Drosophila melanogaster: one gene and its partner. The protein of the gene in region 1 interacts with the protein of each later gene in a pairwise test. Each region holds a gene or a part of one and is shown on either strand. Other genes may lie near its edges.

Region 1 (6,446 bases):
TGAGTTTGCCGCCAAAGAGGCAGCGGAAAACGAAAACAAAAGCCATCAGCATCGGAAACCACAACATCAACTACGGTAAAGATCGATTTTTCAGCCACCGATCGGGCTTTAGTGCGTCGCCGAGCTCTGAAGCGTATAGATGGCGATCGGTTCCGTAGTTTTTGCCGCCGCAGGCTTGCTGCTCCTCCTCCTCCCGCCGTCGCATCAGCAAGCGACAGCGGGAAACGTAAGTACCCCAAGCATTGTGACTCACTTGGGAAACCAGGCATTGTTAGGTTAACCAGAGAGACCCATCTATATTCCAGATTGGATCCCAGTGGCGCGACGATGAGGTCCATTTCAACCGCACCCTGGACTCCATTTTGGTGCCACGCGTCGTTGGCAGTCGGGGACATCAGCAGGTGGGTGATAAAGCTTCAAGTGTATTACTTGGCGTTATAATATTAACATTTCAAACAGGTGCGCGAGTACCTGGTCCAATCGCTGAACGGCCTTGGCTTCCAAACGGAAGTGGATGAGTTCAAGCAGAGAGTTCCAGTTTTCGGCGAACTCACGTTTGCCAACGTAGTGGGCACAATCAATCCCCAGGCTCAGAACTTTCTCGCTCTGGCCTGCCACTACGACAGCAAGTACTTCCCCAATGATCCCGGCTTTGTGGGCGCCACTGACTCCGCCGTGCCCTGTGCCATTCTGTTGAACACCGCCAAGACCTTGGGCGCGTATCTGCAGAAAGAGTTTCGCAATCGCAGCGATGTGGGACTTATGGTAAGTTGCTTACTTAGTGCCCATTAACACAGACCTTGGTGGCTAAATAAATTTTCCATGAACTCCAGTTATACCAAACCTGAGCGAAAACAAGTTGCATGTTTGGTATTCAAATCTCCATTTGAAATTAGGCATACGACATTAGTATTACATTGAAAAAGTTGATTTATGTTAATAAGATCTAGTAGAGAATTTTTCCTATAGTTATTGAAAATCCAACCTTCTTATCCACCAGCTCATATTCTTCGATGGCGAGGAGGCCTTTAAGGAGTGGACCGATGCGGACTCTGTATACGGATCAAAGCATCTGGCCGCGAAGTTGGCTAGCAAACGCAGTGGTTCCCAGGCGCAACTAGCTCCACGCAATATAGATCGAATTGTAAGTCAATGACCTTTGCGAGAATTATCAGCTTGCTAAGATTGTATCAATAACAGGAAGTTCTGGTGCTGCTGGATCTAATTGGGGCGCGGAATCCCAAGTTCTCCAGTTTTTATGAAAACACCGACGGACTGCACTCCAGTCTCGTGCAGATTGAGAAATCTCTGCGCACTGCCGGCCAGCTGGAGGGCAATAACAATATGTTTTTAAGTCGTGTCAGCGGTGGTCTAGTCGACGATGATCATCGACCGTTTTTAGATGAGAGTAAGTTTGATGTCTTTAGTGTGTATCCATAATCACAGACGTTTTCCATACAGATGTTCCTGTGCTGCATTTGGTAGCCACTCCTTTCCCAGACGTCTGGCACACGCCTCGGGACAATGCCGCCAATCTGCACTGGCCTTCCATACGCAATTTCAACCGTGTTTTCCGTAATTTCGTTTATCAATACCTTAAGCGGCACACGTCACCAGTGAATTTGCGTTTTTACCGAACATAGTTTATGTTTTGTCTTATGGCTAAGATTTATTAAGCATAAGTGTAAAGTGTTTTTCGTTAATTAAAGTGTCCTAAGGCATGTGTAATTCTTCCTAGCGACGTTTGCGACCGGCTTGCGCCTTCTTGCCCGGAGCCCTTTGACCACGATTGCCCTTGGACTTCTTGCCCACCGCCTTGCGACTGCCCTTGCCCTTGGGCTTCTTGCCGCCCTTCTTGCCTGGTTCATTCTCAGCCTCTGCTTCGCGTCTGTTGAGGAAATAAAGGTTTAAGCTTTAGACTATGCTCATTTAACGATAAAGGTTAAACTTACGCCAAGCGATTGTCGCGCTTCTCCATCGATACCGCCTTGCTCACGTCCAGTTTGGGCTTCTTGTTCAGCACGCTCTTGATGAGATCCAGGTTGGCCTCCTTCTCCGGCGTTTGTGTGATATGCGACTGCTTGCGTTTGCCGCCGGGAATCAGCTCTTTAATGCCCAGACCACGTGCCTCCTTCTCCTTGGGCAGTTTGTTTTGGAATTTGCCGACTGAGGCTGTGGAGGATTTGGCCACAGTGACGGCCGTTAACAACTGGCTGGATGAGGCAGCCTCGGGTCCCAAGTAACCGCTGCGTGGCATGTCGATCTTCTTGGCGCGCACAATGTTCTTCATCCGCTGGATCTCATTCTTGGCCACCTTCTCGTTGCGCAGGTCGATCTTCTTCTGGAACATGTCCGTATTGGGATCGGCGTTCTGTGGCACCTCCAGCACCCAATCCTTGGCCTTCTCGGCCTCGGCACGCTTAAAACCATATGTAGGCACCCATTTCTATAAAGATTCAAGGTTTAGATTGTGACTTGACAAGATTAAAGAGCAAAAACTTGCATCCATGGTCTCATCGTAGGTCTTCTTGTCCTTCTTCTTCTTGCTGATACCCTTCTCCTTGGCGAACTTCTCCCATTTGGTGAGCGGACGTGGACCTGGCGGCTTACGGAGGCGGGGCAGTACCGTCGTGGGTTCCGGCAGCTTGGCCACAATGCTCTCGTCTACCCGTTCGGTGGGCAACTCCCAAATGGCATTGACCAAAAGTTGGGTGTTCTCCCGTGTCAGTGCGGTCAGGTACTCCTCTTTGTTGTCCCTAAAAACAATGGAACTGGTGAAAAATCAGTATTCCTCGCTAGAAACCGCCGCTTACCTCAATTCCCGGTCATCGAAATCGTTGGGATCTGTGATCAGCAGGCTGCCAACGTCGAGTCGGCATTCCAAATGCTTTTCTACTGTGATCGGCTTGTATTTGTCCAATTCCTTTTGGTGTTTGGCCAGAACTTCTTTAACAACATCCATTTTCAGGGAATTAGCGTATAAACAGCAAAATTCAATTCCACGTGCTGACAACTGTGACCATGCACTAGATTTAACGAATAGGCTAAAAAATACTAAATAAATGTACCAAACTCGCACCGAAGACTCAAACCTTGCAGGGAAACTTGGCTATATACTTATCAGTCTATCGGCGCCATTTCAAAATAAGTTTTTAAATTAATTTTTTAAAGATCCTCGTTTATTTTACGATCTCTACAACGTAACGTCCAGCGCTTTTCCGCCTCGTCCAACGTTTGTGGCATCGTAGCTCCCTTGGTCTCCGGCAGAAACAAGATTATTAAAGCGCCTATCACGGACACCAATGTGATAATAAACATGGGCAAGGGACGATAGTAGCGGTGGGTGCTGAGTACAAGTGGTGAGAGTAGGGCACCCATCTGACCCATAATATTGATAATAGCCAGTCCCTGACCGCGCAGCACGGTTGGCAGTATCTCAGAGGCCCACTGTTGACCCACATTGTAGGCCATTGTGGCGAAAAATCTGGCTGCAATCGCTGCCGTTGATGCATTCCAATGTCCTTTTAGAATACCAACGAAGAGACTGGATGCTGCACACAATAGCATGACAGCCGACATCATGGGCTTGCGACCAATTCGATCTAGCAAAAGCATTGGTACGATTCCAGCAGGAATTTCAACGAGCGAGGAAAGGGAAAAGGTTATAAATATATCTGTGTCCAGGATTTCGACTACGCGAACATGGGCATCGTATGCTAGGGCCACAGTCATCCATGTGACAATCAAAATCGTTAAGACGACGAGCCTGGGAAATGTCTTAAAGAGATCCAGACTGGTGTACTGCTTTCCCAATTGCTCGTTGGCAAATTTAAGTTCATAGCATTCCCGCATCTCGGACCAAACCTCTTCGGAAATGATTTTTCCATTGGCTTTGGCCGCTTCTTTCATGACTTCAATACACCGGTCCACTTTACCCACCGACATAAGCCAACTGCAGTGGGAAATGAAGTTTAGATAGCTTGAAAACCTATTGTTATCATTAATTTACCTTGGTGACTCTGGAGCCAGCAAGCTGGTCAATATCATGAATACAATTGGCAGGGCAACGACCATGGCATAGTGCCTCCAATTACTGATGACATAGGCCAGCCAGGGAAGCAAGCAGGCGCCCAAGGTGAAGAAGAATGTGAGGGCTAAGTTCCCCACCAGTGTGCGATACTTGATGCCAACGTTCTCCAAAGCTGTTGAAAAGAATGTGATGATGATATTTAAATTTATGATTTATGTTAATTGACTCTGCAACACTCACTTAGAATATAAATGGGAACGAAGCAGTAGTTCATTGACAGTCCAGCCACAAATCGGCTGGCAGCAAAGCAGGGAAAGTCCTTGCAGACCACACTTACGCAACCGCCGATCATGGAACAGGAGTTGGCCAGAAATAGTGCAGGCAAGCGACCGGAATGATCGGTTATGAATCCAAAGCAGAGGCAACCAACAATACAGCCCACAAAGTAGACAACGACGCTATATGTCCCGAAATCCCTTTTGTCGCACACCCAATTGTACTCGGTAGCGATGGACTCGTAGGGCACCTCCTTGCGATCATAGATCCAACCATTGTTGCAAGGTATCGGGCTCCTTGTCTGATTCGCATCGTTGGTCGCATTTGAGTCGTAGGGCACATTGTACATAAAACAATTCTCGAAACTGCCATCTTGCTTTTTGGGGATTCCCCGATTCTTTTGTTCACTTTCCGGCAGTCCCTCTAGTTCTCGTACTCTGCACCAGTGATTCTTTGGCAACAGTATCATAAATATCTGACCAAAGTAGGTGAATGCGAACAGAAAGGCGGCGGGCATCATCCAAAACAGCAGTCGCTTCTGAAAGGGGCCAAAGTCCCCAATGAACAGCAAGAAGTTCTCATACTTTTCACAATCTCTGGGGGGCATTTCGACATTTAATATTATAAATATGTACTAAACAAAAGCCAACTTCTTTAAAGCCCTCTTTTTGAACCTTAAATAGTTAAATATATGTTATTTTGAATAAACCATTCAAATATCAACTTTTTGAACTCCACTTTTTTCCGCCAATTTTCGATTACTTTCTAGGCCTTCTATTTTAGCTTCATGTTCGGCTGGTCACACAAATGCACATAGATATCGATAATTGACAACATCCATATCTAATTTGCGCGCGAAAAAACTTTTAATAACAATGGATGTGGATTTACTGCCGCTGAGAAAGCGAATAACAAACACCTTCAAGCTATGTGGATTCCTGATCCGCTCGGAGAACAGTTCCTACCTGGCGGAGCAGCTGCTACCCTTTGACGCAGCGGAACGGGACAAATGGCTGACGGTGATCACCGAGAATCTCCAAAGCCAAAAGCTTTTGACGCCTCATGTGGAGCGAGCCGCCCTGGAGAAGGCCATCAATGAACTTAACCGGGTGGGATTGGATGAAGGGGAGACGGTCTTTGCCCTGATCGATGCCTTTACGGTGCCCCGTTTTCGGTACAACCAGCGGATAAAGAAATTCGAACTGGACACTCAGCCGCGCCAGTTGCTGACCGCCCCGCGCATGAAATCGGACTACATGCAGCAACGATATGCCATGTTACTACAGAAAACTCTGCGACACGATCTCTTTGCCCCAGCCGTCATACAGGATGGCGTTGGGGCCGAGGCCCAGGCCAAGAAATTTAAGCTCCAGTTCGCGGAGAACCTGCTGGCCACGTCGGCGATGAAGGAGGCAGTTGTTTTGGGGCTACTTACCCAGCTTAAAGAGGGCAAGTTCTATGTCGAGGATCCCACGGGTTGCGTCCAGTTAGATCTCACTGGAGCCCGTTTCCATGCCGGCTTCTTCTGCGAGGGCTGCTTTGTTTTAGCCGAGGGCAACTATAACAACGGTGTGCTCAAGGGTAAGTAGCCCAAAGTATTTAATAACTACATCTCAAGAGTTTCTTATGTTTCCCCAGTTGATGGCCTGGGCTTTCCACCTGCGGAACCGGCAAACAGCAGTCGAGCATTTTTCGGCACCGCCAACACTTGGGGCGGTGAATCTGCTAAGCTGCTGAAGTACTCAGCCGGACTACAGGAACTGGAGCGTACCAACACGGAAACAACCATTGTTTTCCTTTCCGACGTTCGGTTGGATCTGCCGGTTGTCATGGAGAAGCTGCGCCAGTTGTTCGTGGGCTATGATTCCTGTCCGCCGCAGGCTATAGTGCTCATGGGTCCCTTCACGGCCAGCACAAGGAATCATCATGAACTGAGGCATCACCTGGATGCATTGGGTGGCTTGGCAGCTGGCTGCGAGCAGCTGAAGAAGCAAACGGATCTGATACTCGTTCCCTCGTCCGAAGATCCCACGGCACCTAATATTCTGCCCCGTGCTCCAATTCCCGAATGCCTGGCAGCCGGGCTGCTAAAGGCCTGGCCACGCACCCAGTTGGCTACGAATCCGTGTCGCCTGCAGTA
Region 2 (10,395 bases), on another chromosome or scaffold:
AGTAGCCAGTTCGACTCGGCTAGTGATCCTGATCATATATGTATATATATACTTTATAGGGTAGGAAACGCTTTTTTCTTTCTGTTTCATACTTCCAAGGTCTTTAATAGGTGCTTTCACTAAGAGTTTCCAGTGTTGGAAGACGAATTCTACTATCTGACCCCCTCCCTCCACACCATGACTGATGGCCAGGTGGTATGATCAAAGACACTAGAATAACAAAATGCGTAACGGCCATACATTGGTTTGACAAAAGACACTAGAATAACAAGATGCGTAACGGCCATACATTGGTTTGGCACTATGCAGCCACTTTTTTGGTGACGGCCAAAATTGCTGTCTGTCCGCTCGCTTACAATGAGAGTGTAAGAAATCTAAAAATAGAATTTGCTTGCTTGTGTAAGTAAAAGCAAGAGACCAGAACGCGTATATGTGTGCGTGTTGTGATAGAAAACGATTTTCGGGCCGAAATCAATTCTGATTGAAGAAACGAATTTACATATTTGAGGAGTTTTGTCCGATTTCGTAGCAATATGACAAAATTGCGCGCTTTTTAAAAATATCAAATTGGAATATAACAAAAAAAAACTGAAATCGAACAACTGAATCTAATGTGCATGTTAAATAATAAAAATTGATCATTTACATACATCATATTAAGTCAAATGACTTAATAAATATACTAAATAATTAAGGAAAATACCAAGGAAGTATAACTACTGTAATTTAAAACATAAATTTCCCAAATAGAAGACATTATATTGAGAAATAAATATTCCATAAAAATAATACGTAGTAGAAAATACAAATTTATAACATAAACAAAAATATGAAAACTGTTTATTGGAAGTATATCTTGAGGCACGAAGTGCAGACGAAAGCACTCAACAATGTCTTATTAATTTTTCACAAGTCGCAAGCTGAATCATTCATTTCATTTCATTCAGTCATTTTTAAAATTTATTTTGTGACATTATGATTCGGCTTTTACTATTTCTAAGCTATATTTAAATAATAATAACGTTAAGGCAATGCAAAACAAGAATTTTTCGCACGGTGCCAATTGATCAAAAATAATATAGATTTAATGTCTATGAACTTCTAAGGTGAAGGGCATACATATGTACATATATTGTCAAATTTACAATGCATGGATACGTGTGCACACACACAGTTGTCTGCTATCACTGTATGCGTAGAAAAGAGCTGTGCGCTGTAGCGCTCTCCGCTCTCTCGCTCTCGAACAAAAATTCGAGGGGGCCTGGAGCCACGGCGAAAAAACCGTGTGCCAAAAAATCGTAAGACGTTACGCATCCTGTTATTCTAATGTCTTTGGTATGATAATCTTTAACAATTTATTTCAAATTATTACTCCCTTGGACATGGTATGTGACGACAAATTCTCACCATACGAAAAATATGAAAAACTTTGATTTTTAATAACTCGACATATGGCTTTATTTGTACCACATTTCTTCGTACTGTGCCATACCATCCCTATTTTGCCATCCTTACGATACCGCCGTCATTATCTTCATTAATGGGTGGGTAGAGACCGTTAGGTCAATGCAGGACGGCATATAGAAATTGGGTGACGCACTCTTAGACCATAACCAAAACTATCGTATATTCTCAAAAAAAGGGGACTATGACTATAAAAATAGCTATGTATTTAACTCTAAACCTCTATAGATTTTGATAGACCATGACATTGTGTGGAACATGATGTCATTTTCTAGACATTGTGCACGAAGATCATTCCCGAAGTCGACCGAACACTTATTCCGTGCATGTTTCATCAGACCGCCGGCAGCATATTTTAGCGTTAGGCGTGCACTTCCTTGTATAACTGTGTACACCTACAAAAAATTTCAAAATCAATCTATCGGGCACGCTCCGTTAATCGAAGTACTTTACGATTTCGATTTTAAAGATTGGTGCTCCGGTTTTCAAATTCGTAAGGATTTTCGATGTGTATAACGGGCACTTTTGTCTGGCCGAAATGAAAAGTATATGCCCATTTTTATATCACGTTAGATCTTAACCAAGGGAAAAAATAGTTCAGTAGTCTATTGATTTATATTCATTAGTTATTTTATATACAATTTATTTCTGACCCCATCAAAAATTTGATATACAAAATTTTGCTGTCGGCAACAAAAATTTTCGATTTGGCATTTTAAAACGCAAGATCGGTGCTCCGGTTTTCAAATTCGTAAGGATTTTTCGATTTGTAAAACGGACACTTTTGTCTGGCCGAAATGAAAAGTATATGCCCATTTTTATATCACGTAAGATATTATTTACCAAGGGAAAAAATAGTTTACTCAGTGGTCTATTGATTTATATTAATTATTTATATTCATTATTTATTTTATATACAATTTATTTCTGACCCCATTAAAAATTTGACATACAAAATTTTGCCGTCGGCAAAAAAAATTTTCGATTTGGCATGGGGTCATGCGTGCGTCGACTAAACTTACTTATAAAATATAAAAGAATTAATTATCTTAATTTAAAAGATGGCCTATAGTGTTCGTAAGTAATGCTATTTAATTTAATTAATTAAACGGTCAAAATGCAGTAAAAAATTAAATGCGAACATCGGAATTAAAATTGTGAAAAAGGTGTCCGCTGGAAAACAGCTTAAACAGCTGTTTACTGTACAGAAAACACTCCGACAGCAAAAAATTTTACGAAATCAAATCGAATTCGGAAACAAATTACGATTATTCGGTAATGCATGCCTGATTATAATTTCTTGATTTGTTTTATATTAAATTTAAAATTTAATAGTTTAATAATATAAAAATATTCTTATTTATATTATATATTATGAGTATTTCAAATGTAAATAATCATATAAACTATTTTATAAAACATCGACGTTACATAAATAAAATTTATTTTTTGTTTTTCAAGTGTAAATAATAATATTAATCATTTTAGAAAACATTCGGCACCTTTACTCGACGCTCATACGAACGGACAGATATGCTTAGTCTGGTATCGCTTTAGCACCAGTAGGAAAAACCTAGAATTTCTTTTCCCACAAATGTCACAACTTCAAAATTCCATTGTTTCACGGTGTTTCTCTTTTAATGTTTCAATATTAATATATATAATGCCTTAAGGTTCAATAAGAACAAAATATTTTCAATGTCTATATCCCACTCCAATTTAGCGTGATATTCACAAAGCTAATCGCAACATTGTGAGCATTAAAAATTGTTATATATGTATGTAAGCGTCTTGGGATTATATTCTCATGAAACTCAACAGTCATATATATGGCCTTAAAATACGTATATATATATATATATATTAATTTTTCAAAGTGTGTGTTTGCATAAGTGGTGTGTACTATTTGTATATTCATTGTACAATTTCTCCCGTTCATATAGGAGAGTGTTCTGTTTTTAATAATTTTGGATATCTTAACTTTTTCGACTTTCTGTAATAAGTTAGATTACACAGTGAACTATAGTCCTTAGCAATGGATACATCAAAGATTAGTGCCAGGTATGTGGATTAAATATTGGTAAATTTTAGTCAACTTTTTCGATATTATTCTCGCGTACTGTTTTTTTAAACTTGTATATGTACTAACATTGTTTTAACAATCTGTTTCACATTAGGTACTCGAAAGTAGACCTGTTAGCTCTAAGATATGAAGGTAAAAGTCGACAGCGCCCGCAATGTTCAACACGACTTGAATTGCAGACGCTAGGTTTTTGGAAAATTAATCTGAACACAGCTGCGTTAACCGTGTCCAGCGCCTATTCTAATCAAAACAAGAATCGACTTTCTCCAGAAGCAGATAACTCGAGCTTAATTTGTTCCAATAGTAGCTCAATAAGTTCACGTCGCGCTATGAGAAATCGAGAACGGGCAAACAACTATTACCAGCGCTTCGTACCTACCGATTCTCTTCTAATAAGTGGGGAGGATAAAGATAAGGATGCGCTTTCTCATGGACAGCCCTATAAGTTGAATATCATCGATCACCGTAGCATATCATCTTCACATTTAATGCCGGCATTTGCAAAGAGGCGTTTTGTCATATCGAAAGGCAGCAACAGCGAGGAAAGCAACGAGGGGATAAACACTTGTGCAAGCAAGGGCAAGGCAGCCAGTTCGCCTAGCCGTAAGGGTAGCGAGTTGGATACTGCTGAGACATGTTTGAATTTTGTTCAGCCGGATCACGACCAATGCATGTCATCTTCACCTACATTTTCAACATCCCGCCAAGAAAGGCGGATTGGTAGCGGTCGGCTGTTGCCAAGAAGTGATAATTGGGATTACAAAAACGAAAAGACCGTAGAAGCCAGCATTGAGAATGAAAAGGAAACATCTCCAAATGGATCTGGAAGTACAAGCAGTCTTAATCAGCACAATCAAAGCCAACATCGTTCTCGAACATTCAGTGGAAGGTTAGTTGAACGTGTTCCCGAAGTCACAGATCGTCGTTTTCAATATGACTCCAAAAAGTCTTTTGATCGTCAGGGAATTAATAATCGACGCATTTCTGGTAAGGAGCCTTTCAGTACTCAAAGCCGAAGCAAGCGTGGCAATTCCTATCTCATTCACGAAGAACCTGAATGGTTCAGTGCAGGACCTAAATCACAGCTAGAAACTATTGATCTACACGGGTTTGAAGACCTGGAAAAAAACGAAGAGCGATCCGTAACTGAAGATAAAAATAATCAAATTCAACAACTTGATAAAAATTTAGACGCGCAAGCAAGCAAAGATGAAGCTTCGATGAGAAACAGCAATGATAGTTTAAATTTCCGCGAAGTCATTCCAAGTGATGAAAAGAAGCACACTGACGAAAATGTAGTGACTTCTATTCAAAACTCAACAGATCTCGGCCATCCCAATAAAAACAAACCAATTCAGATGCAGCCCAGTCAGAATCCTGAAAGTGAATTTAATTTTGATGCCTTTCTTAATATGCATCCCTTGGATAATTCCGTTTTGGTAAATATATTGCAAAAACTAGATTTTAAGGAATGAGTACCTAATCCATTCAGACATTACATGGACAACTTCCGGGTTACCTTTTATTGACGGATCAATAATAGTATTCAAATAAGCTGTAAATAATGATATTAACTCCCGTTACTCAAGTAAAGGGTAAAGAGTTAAAGGGTATACTAGATTCGTTGAAAAGTATGTAAACTATATATTCTTGATCAGGATCAATAGCCGAGTCGAACTGGCCATGTCCGTCTGTCCGTATGAACGTCGAGATCTCAGGAACTAAAAAAACTAGTATGTTGCAATTTAGCATACAGATTATAGATACGAAGACGCAGCACAAGCAAAGACACTAGAATAACAAGATGCGTAACGGCCATACATTGGTTTTGCACTATGCAGCCAATTTTTTAGTGACGGCCAAAATTGCTCTCTTTCCGCTCGCTCCCGCTGAGAGCATAAGAAATCTAAAAATAGAATTTGCTTGCTTGTGTGAGTAAAAACAAGAGACGAGAACGCATATATGTGTGCGTGTTGTGCTAGAAGACGATTTTCGGACCGAAATCAATTCTGATCAAAGAAACGAATTTACATTGTACATATTAGGGTAGTTTTTGTCAATTTCGTAGCAATATGATAAAATAAAATAATTTTTAACTGACTATTATCATTTTAAAGCTTTTTAAATTTGTTTGTTAAAATCGCCGCTCGAATTAGCTACCGTTTACACATTTATATTTATGTTTAATTCTAATTTGTCTCTCATCTGACAATTTTTTAAAAGCGAAATATTTTTTTTTTTAAACACTTTTAATGTTAATGTTACATCATATTAAGTCAAATGACATAATAAATATAGTAAATAATTAAATATGATAACTGTTTATTGCAAAAGTCATATCAAAGACACTAGAATTATTCTAGTGTCTTTGCTTTGTTCATATCTTGAAGCACGAAGTACGGACACAAGCACTCAACAATCATTGCCTTATTAATTTTTCACACGCCGCAAGATGAATACTCTAATGACAAATATTCTTATATAAAGTCATTTTTGAAATTTATTTTTGTGATAATATGTACATAGATTTGGCTATTTCTAATCTATTTTCATATAATAATAACGTTAAGGCAATGCAAAACAAGAATTTTTCGCATGGTGCCAATTGATCAAAAATAATATAGATTTAAAGTCAAAGAACTTCTAAGGTGAAGGGCATATTTTGTGAAATTTACAATGCATGAGCATGCCTGTGTACACATACAGTTGTCTGCTATCACTTTATGCGTTAAAAACAAACAAACAAACCGCCCAGAACTGCCACGCCAACATTTTTGAAAAATGTTCTGATATTTTTTCATATTTTTATTAGTCTAGTAAATTTCTATGGATTTGCAAAAAAAAAAGTTTGCCCCGGCAACTCTAATACCCTAGAATTTATATTTTAAAGGTAAGCTTATTAATTTTAAGATATATTTATTGTACATTTGCAGAGTAATGATGAAACTGGAAAAAGTGACTCAAAAGGAACATCCCGTTTTAGCCGATGGTTTCGACAAAAAGAAGCTGCAAATAATAATGAGTTTCCAGGGTTTCGGGAATCGCATGCTCAAGAAAAACGTGGTATGTCAAGATTTGTAATAATATATCAAAGGCCTTATAGTTCACTTTGTTCTTAAGGTATTCCAAGTGTTAAGGATCTGGAAGCTCAAATGATAAAAGTGGATATGAGGACTGATTTAATAAATCCAATAGCAGGGTCATTATGTCAGACAGTGCAAATGGAAAAACCTATTGCTAGAGACACTGAGGCATTCAAAAAACTTTTGCAACAGTTGGGTTCTCAAGCCAGGCAGCATCATCCATGCAACGACGATTGTCGTACAATAAACCTCTCAAATATAGCAAATCATGTACACCTTGAGTCAAAATTACATCAAAAAATAAATGATGGTCATTTGCAGCAACCAGAGTTAAGTGTTAACGTGCCAACCATGCCAACTAGTAGTCATGTATTTTTGCAAAAGCGTTTGGAAATCCAACATTTAATTCAAAGTAAGATATGTTTCAAAATTCCATGTCTATAAACTTTTTCTTGAATACTTAAGTCCTTTTTCTTGTCCTTATGGTAAAATAATATAAGGTTTCTGGCTGATAAAACACATGAATGTTACAGTTTACCATATACATGTTTACCATCAGAACGGGAACTTATTTAAAGCGTATCTGGTAAAAACCACGTGTTCTTATTTTAATGCTTTTATACCCTGCGCTGTATTTAAATATTATGAAAAACAAAATGTTTAATAATAAATAGGACTTCATTGTGGAGACGTTTCACATGATTTTTTGGAAAAAGAATTGGATAATCCCAGCACCCCAGCAGCCACAAAGGATGTCATTGCCACAGTGTTGAATGAATATTCTCATTCTAAAAGAAATCCGGTGGTCACAGGCGATCCCAATATTTTTACCCAACAATCGTTTCTTCAGCCTCAATCAGTCCATCAGCACTACTCTCAAGGTAAGTAATTCTTGGTTATATGGTAACTCTTTAAAATTCAATTAATATAATATTTGATTCAGTTAAAGTATCTTATTTATTACTAAAATTATTTGTAAAAATTCCTTAATTTTTTTCTAGAATTGCATTCGCAAAATACTGCTAACCATACGATTAATCAGCTAATTTCCCACGGTAACTCTCCAACTCCGTTGGCATTTACTCCTACTTCAGTTTTAAGAAAAATGACAGCCGATAAGGATACGCAATCACCAAGCACTTATTGTCAGAACCCACAATATCATGTACACCAACAAAATGCCAAGCAAGTCGGTACTCGTGAGAACGTACTTGAGCCACAGCTGACCGCAACAATGGCTGTACAGCCCCGAATGATATTAGGCGGTGGAAACTTTGCCATTGGCCAAAACAATCAACATTTGTCTCCCAACATGTCACAAAGTCGTAATCAACAAGTGTTAAAGTGGACTTCTGGCAATATGCAAATGGTCCACGGAAAAACATTTGGTAAGTTACACAAAAAAGTGTTAGCTATTATTAAAGTACATTTATTAGTTAAAGCTTTGTTTTTTTTTTTTTGCTATAAGTTTTTTTTACTCGTTCTCATAAACTTAATGTAAATGTATATGAATTTCAAGAGAAATTATAAAAATCGTTGAGTTACCATAAAAAGCGTGCAAATACGCAAATACAAAATTCAGTTCTTAAAAGAGGATAGTATAGGATAGGAGAAAGTGGATGCTTTTTATACCCGTTACCCGTAGCGTAAAAGCAAAGACATTAGAATAACAAGATACGTAACGGCCATATATTGGTTTTGCCAAAGACATTAGAATGACGAGTAACGCCATACGTTTTTTAGGATTTTTGTTGACTTTTTCATCAATTTATTAGTCTCTTAATCAAGTAAATTTTCAAAAGTTTTGGTGGCTTTGTGGGCGTGGCAGTTTTGGCCTGTTTGTGGGCCTTAGAGTGTCCGCAGCATCATGACTCTCTCAAGCTTCTCAACTCTCTAGCTTCTATAGCTCCTGAGATCTCGATGGCCAGATCGACTCGGCTATTGATCCTGATCAAGAATATATATACTTTATATGGTCGGAAACGCTTCTTTCTGCCTGTTACATTCTTTAAAACGAATATAGTATATCTCTACGAGAACCGGGTGTAAATATACAACCTGTAGAATAGCTAAATTGGCTTTTTGAGACACGACGTGCGTGCACGTATATACTTACATAATATAGAGAGTATTTTTTAATAGACCAAAAAATAAATATTCATATACACAGTTTGCTTAATTTATATTCTGTGCAAGAAGTGTACCCTACAATTTTGATTATTCTTGACTTATTGGGGTAATGAAAATTACGATTATTTAGTGGAATTTTTTGAAGTGGACTTTGTTTTAATGTAGTTATCTGTGACCCAAAGCAATATTTTATTCTCTAGGAATAAATATCTTTGTTAAACAACGCGATATAATAAACTTGAGATCTTCGACTTCTGTATTAATGGGTTCAAAGACTTACACATTATTATTTTGACTTACATATTTTAGGCCGACCTATTCTGAAAGGAGGTCTTAATTCAATGCCGCATTCCAATTCTGCACTTCCTTTTACTGCCCATAAAATTGAAATGCAACCCATTCATCAACCACATCTACAGCAGCAGCAACATAGATTTAAAGCAGTTCAATCTGTGGAATCAAATCTGAATACCGAAAGTGTTCACCAAAACATTACATCTCCTGTTGGATGGCACCAACTTTACATGCAACATCAGCAACAACATCATCACACACGACAGCAGCTTAGTCAAAGAGTGATTTATGGAGAAATGCACCGTCAATCAAATCCACAAATGTCTCCGCCAGTCCCAGGTCGAATATTGCAAATAAAATTAGTTTTATAAATCATCTAATTAGTTGTCTTTATTTAAGGTTTTTCTGACAGCTCCGATTCCGGTAATGTGATCAAAGCAAACAGCCTCACATCTCCTAGCTACCAGAGAGATGAGAGGATTTCATCACCAACCAATCAATTGGCGCAATGGTTTTCCCCTGAGCTTCTTGCAAAAGCCTCTGCTGGAAAACTGCCACTTTTAAATGTGAACCAAGCACTCAGTTTGGAAGAATTTGAACGAAGCATTCAACATTCCTCAGGCGTCGTGCATAACTAACTCTTGAAGATAGTTTTAAGTTCAATACAGCAAATTTTAAAATGACACCGAAATCAAATATTTTTTTGTCTAAATTTAATTTCTTCTTTATGTTAAGGAGTATGTCTGTATGGGCACAAATCTATTAAATAATTCTGGAAACAAAATTTTTAGCATATAAAAGTAGTTTTCTATAAATAAATATACATTAACTTAAACTATTTAATGTATTTACAGAATGTAATTATTATATTGTACAAAACTATTTTACTGTAAATAACACGCAATTATATAAGTTTAAAAATGTTTACTTTTCTTAAATCTCAGTATGTTAAATAGGGTCTTGCGCTGGGAATTAACTTTATAGTTATACCTATTACGTTGCACGTTATGAAAAGGAGTGTGTAAAATTTGTTTAAAGCACATTTGTCATAGGAAAAAATATACAGTTTATATAGTTTTAGTTTAGGTTTGCAAAGTATTGGCCCATATTCGTATCTATATTTATGATCAGTCGAATCGAATCAACAGCCGAATCAATATATCCATTACCGTCGGAAAATCAACAAACAAGTAACTATTTTAAAGCATATATTTTCTAATTGGTGTTTTTATAGCTGGCAGGTCAAAACCCCGAACATGATTAACTAAACTAGTTTTTGATGTTTATTTTTTTTAAAGTCAGATTGCATGAATAATAAGTACAATATGTTGGCTATCTGAG

The links.
Region 2: the proteins of CG32409 (region 1) and 4E-T interact in a two-hybrid assay, tested with the Drosophila melanogaster proteins (one large-scale study listed by BioGRID).

Annotation. Positions count from the first base shown.
Region 1 is NT_037436.4:5,896,115-5,902,560, reverse strand, and holds CG32409 (uncharacterized protein), read right to left. Parts: upstream 3,034-6,446; 5' UTR 2,963-3,033; coding exon 2,814-2,962; intron 2,757-2,813; coding exon 2,504-2,756; intron 2,447-2,503; coding exon 1,953-2,446; intron 1,889-1,952; coding exon 1,735-1,888; 3' UTR 1,644-1,734; downstream 1-1,643. Other genes in the region: QC (glutaminyl cyclase), read left to right, coding at 140-226, 306-401, 460-765, 1,001-1,144, 1,201-1,408, 1,462-1,643; CG5592 (uncharacterized protein), read right to left, coding at 3,166-3,952, 4,010-4,202, 4,271-4,913; PolE2 (DNA polymerase epsilon subunit 2), read left to right, coding at 5,182-5,887, 5,945-6,446.
Region 2 is NC_004353.4:951,136-961,530, reverse strand, and holds 4E-T (eIF4E-Transporter), read left to right. Parts: upstream 1-3,138; 5' UTR 3,139-3,499; coding exon 3,500-3,525; intron 3,526-3,641; coding exon 3,642-4,986; intron 4,987-6,480; coding exon 6,481-6,610; intron 6,611-6,667; coding exon 6,668-7,042; intron 7,043-7,304; coding exon 7,305-7,511; intron 7,512-7,631; coding exon 7,632-8,018; intron 8,019-9,069; coding exon 9,070-9,393; intron 9,394-9,453; coding exon 9,454-9,692; 3' UTR 9,693-9,989; downstream 9,990-10,395. UniProt on the Drosophila melanogaster protein: eIF4E1-binding protein that regulates translation and stability of mRNAs in processing bodies (P-bodies). Probably plays a role in P-bodies to coordinate the storage of translationally inactive mRNAs in the cytoplasm and prevent their degradation.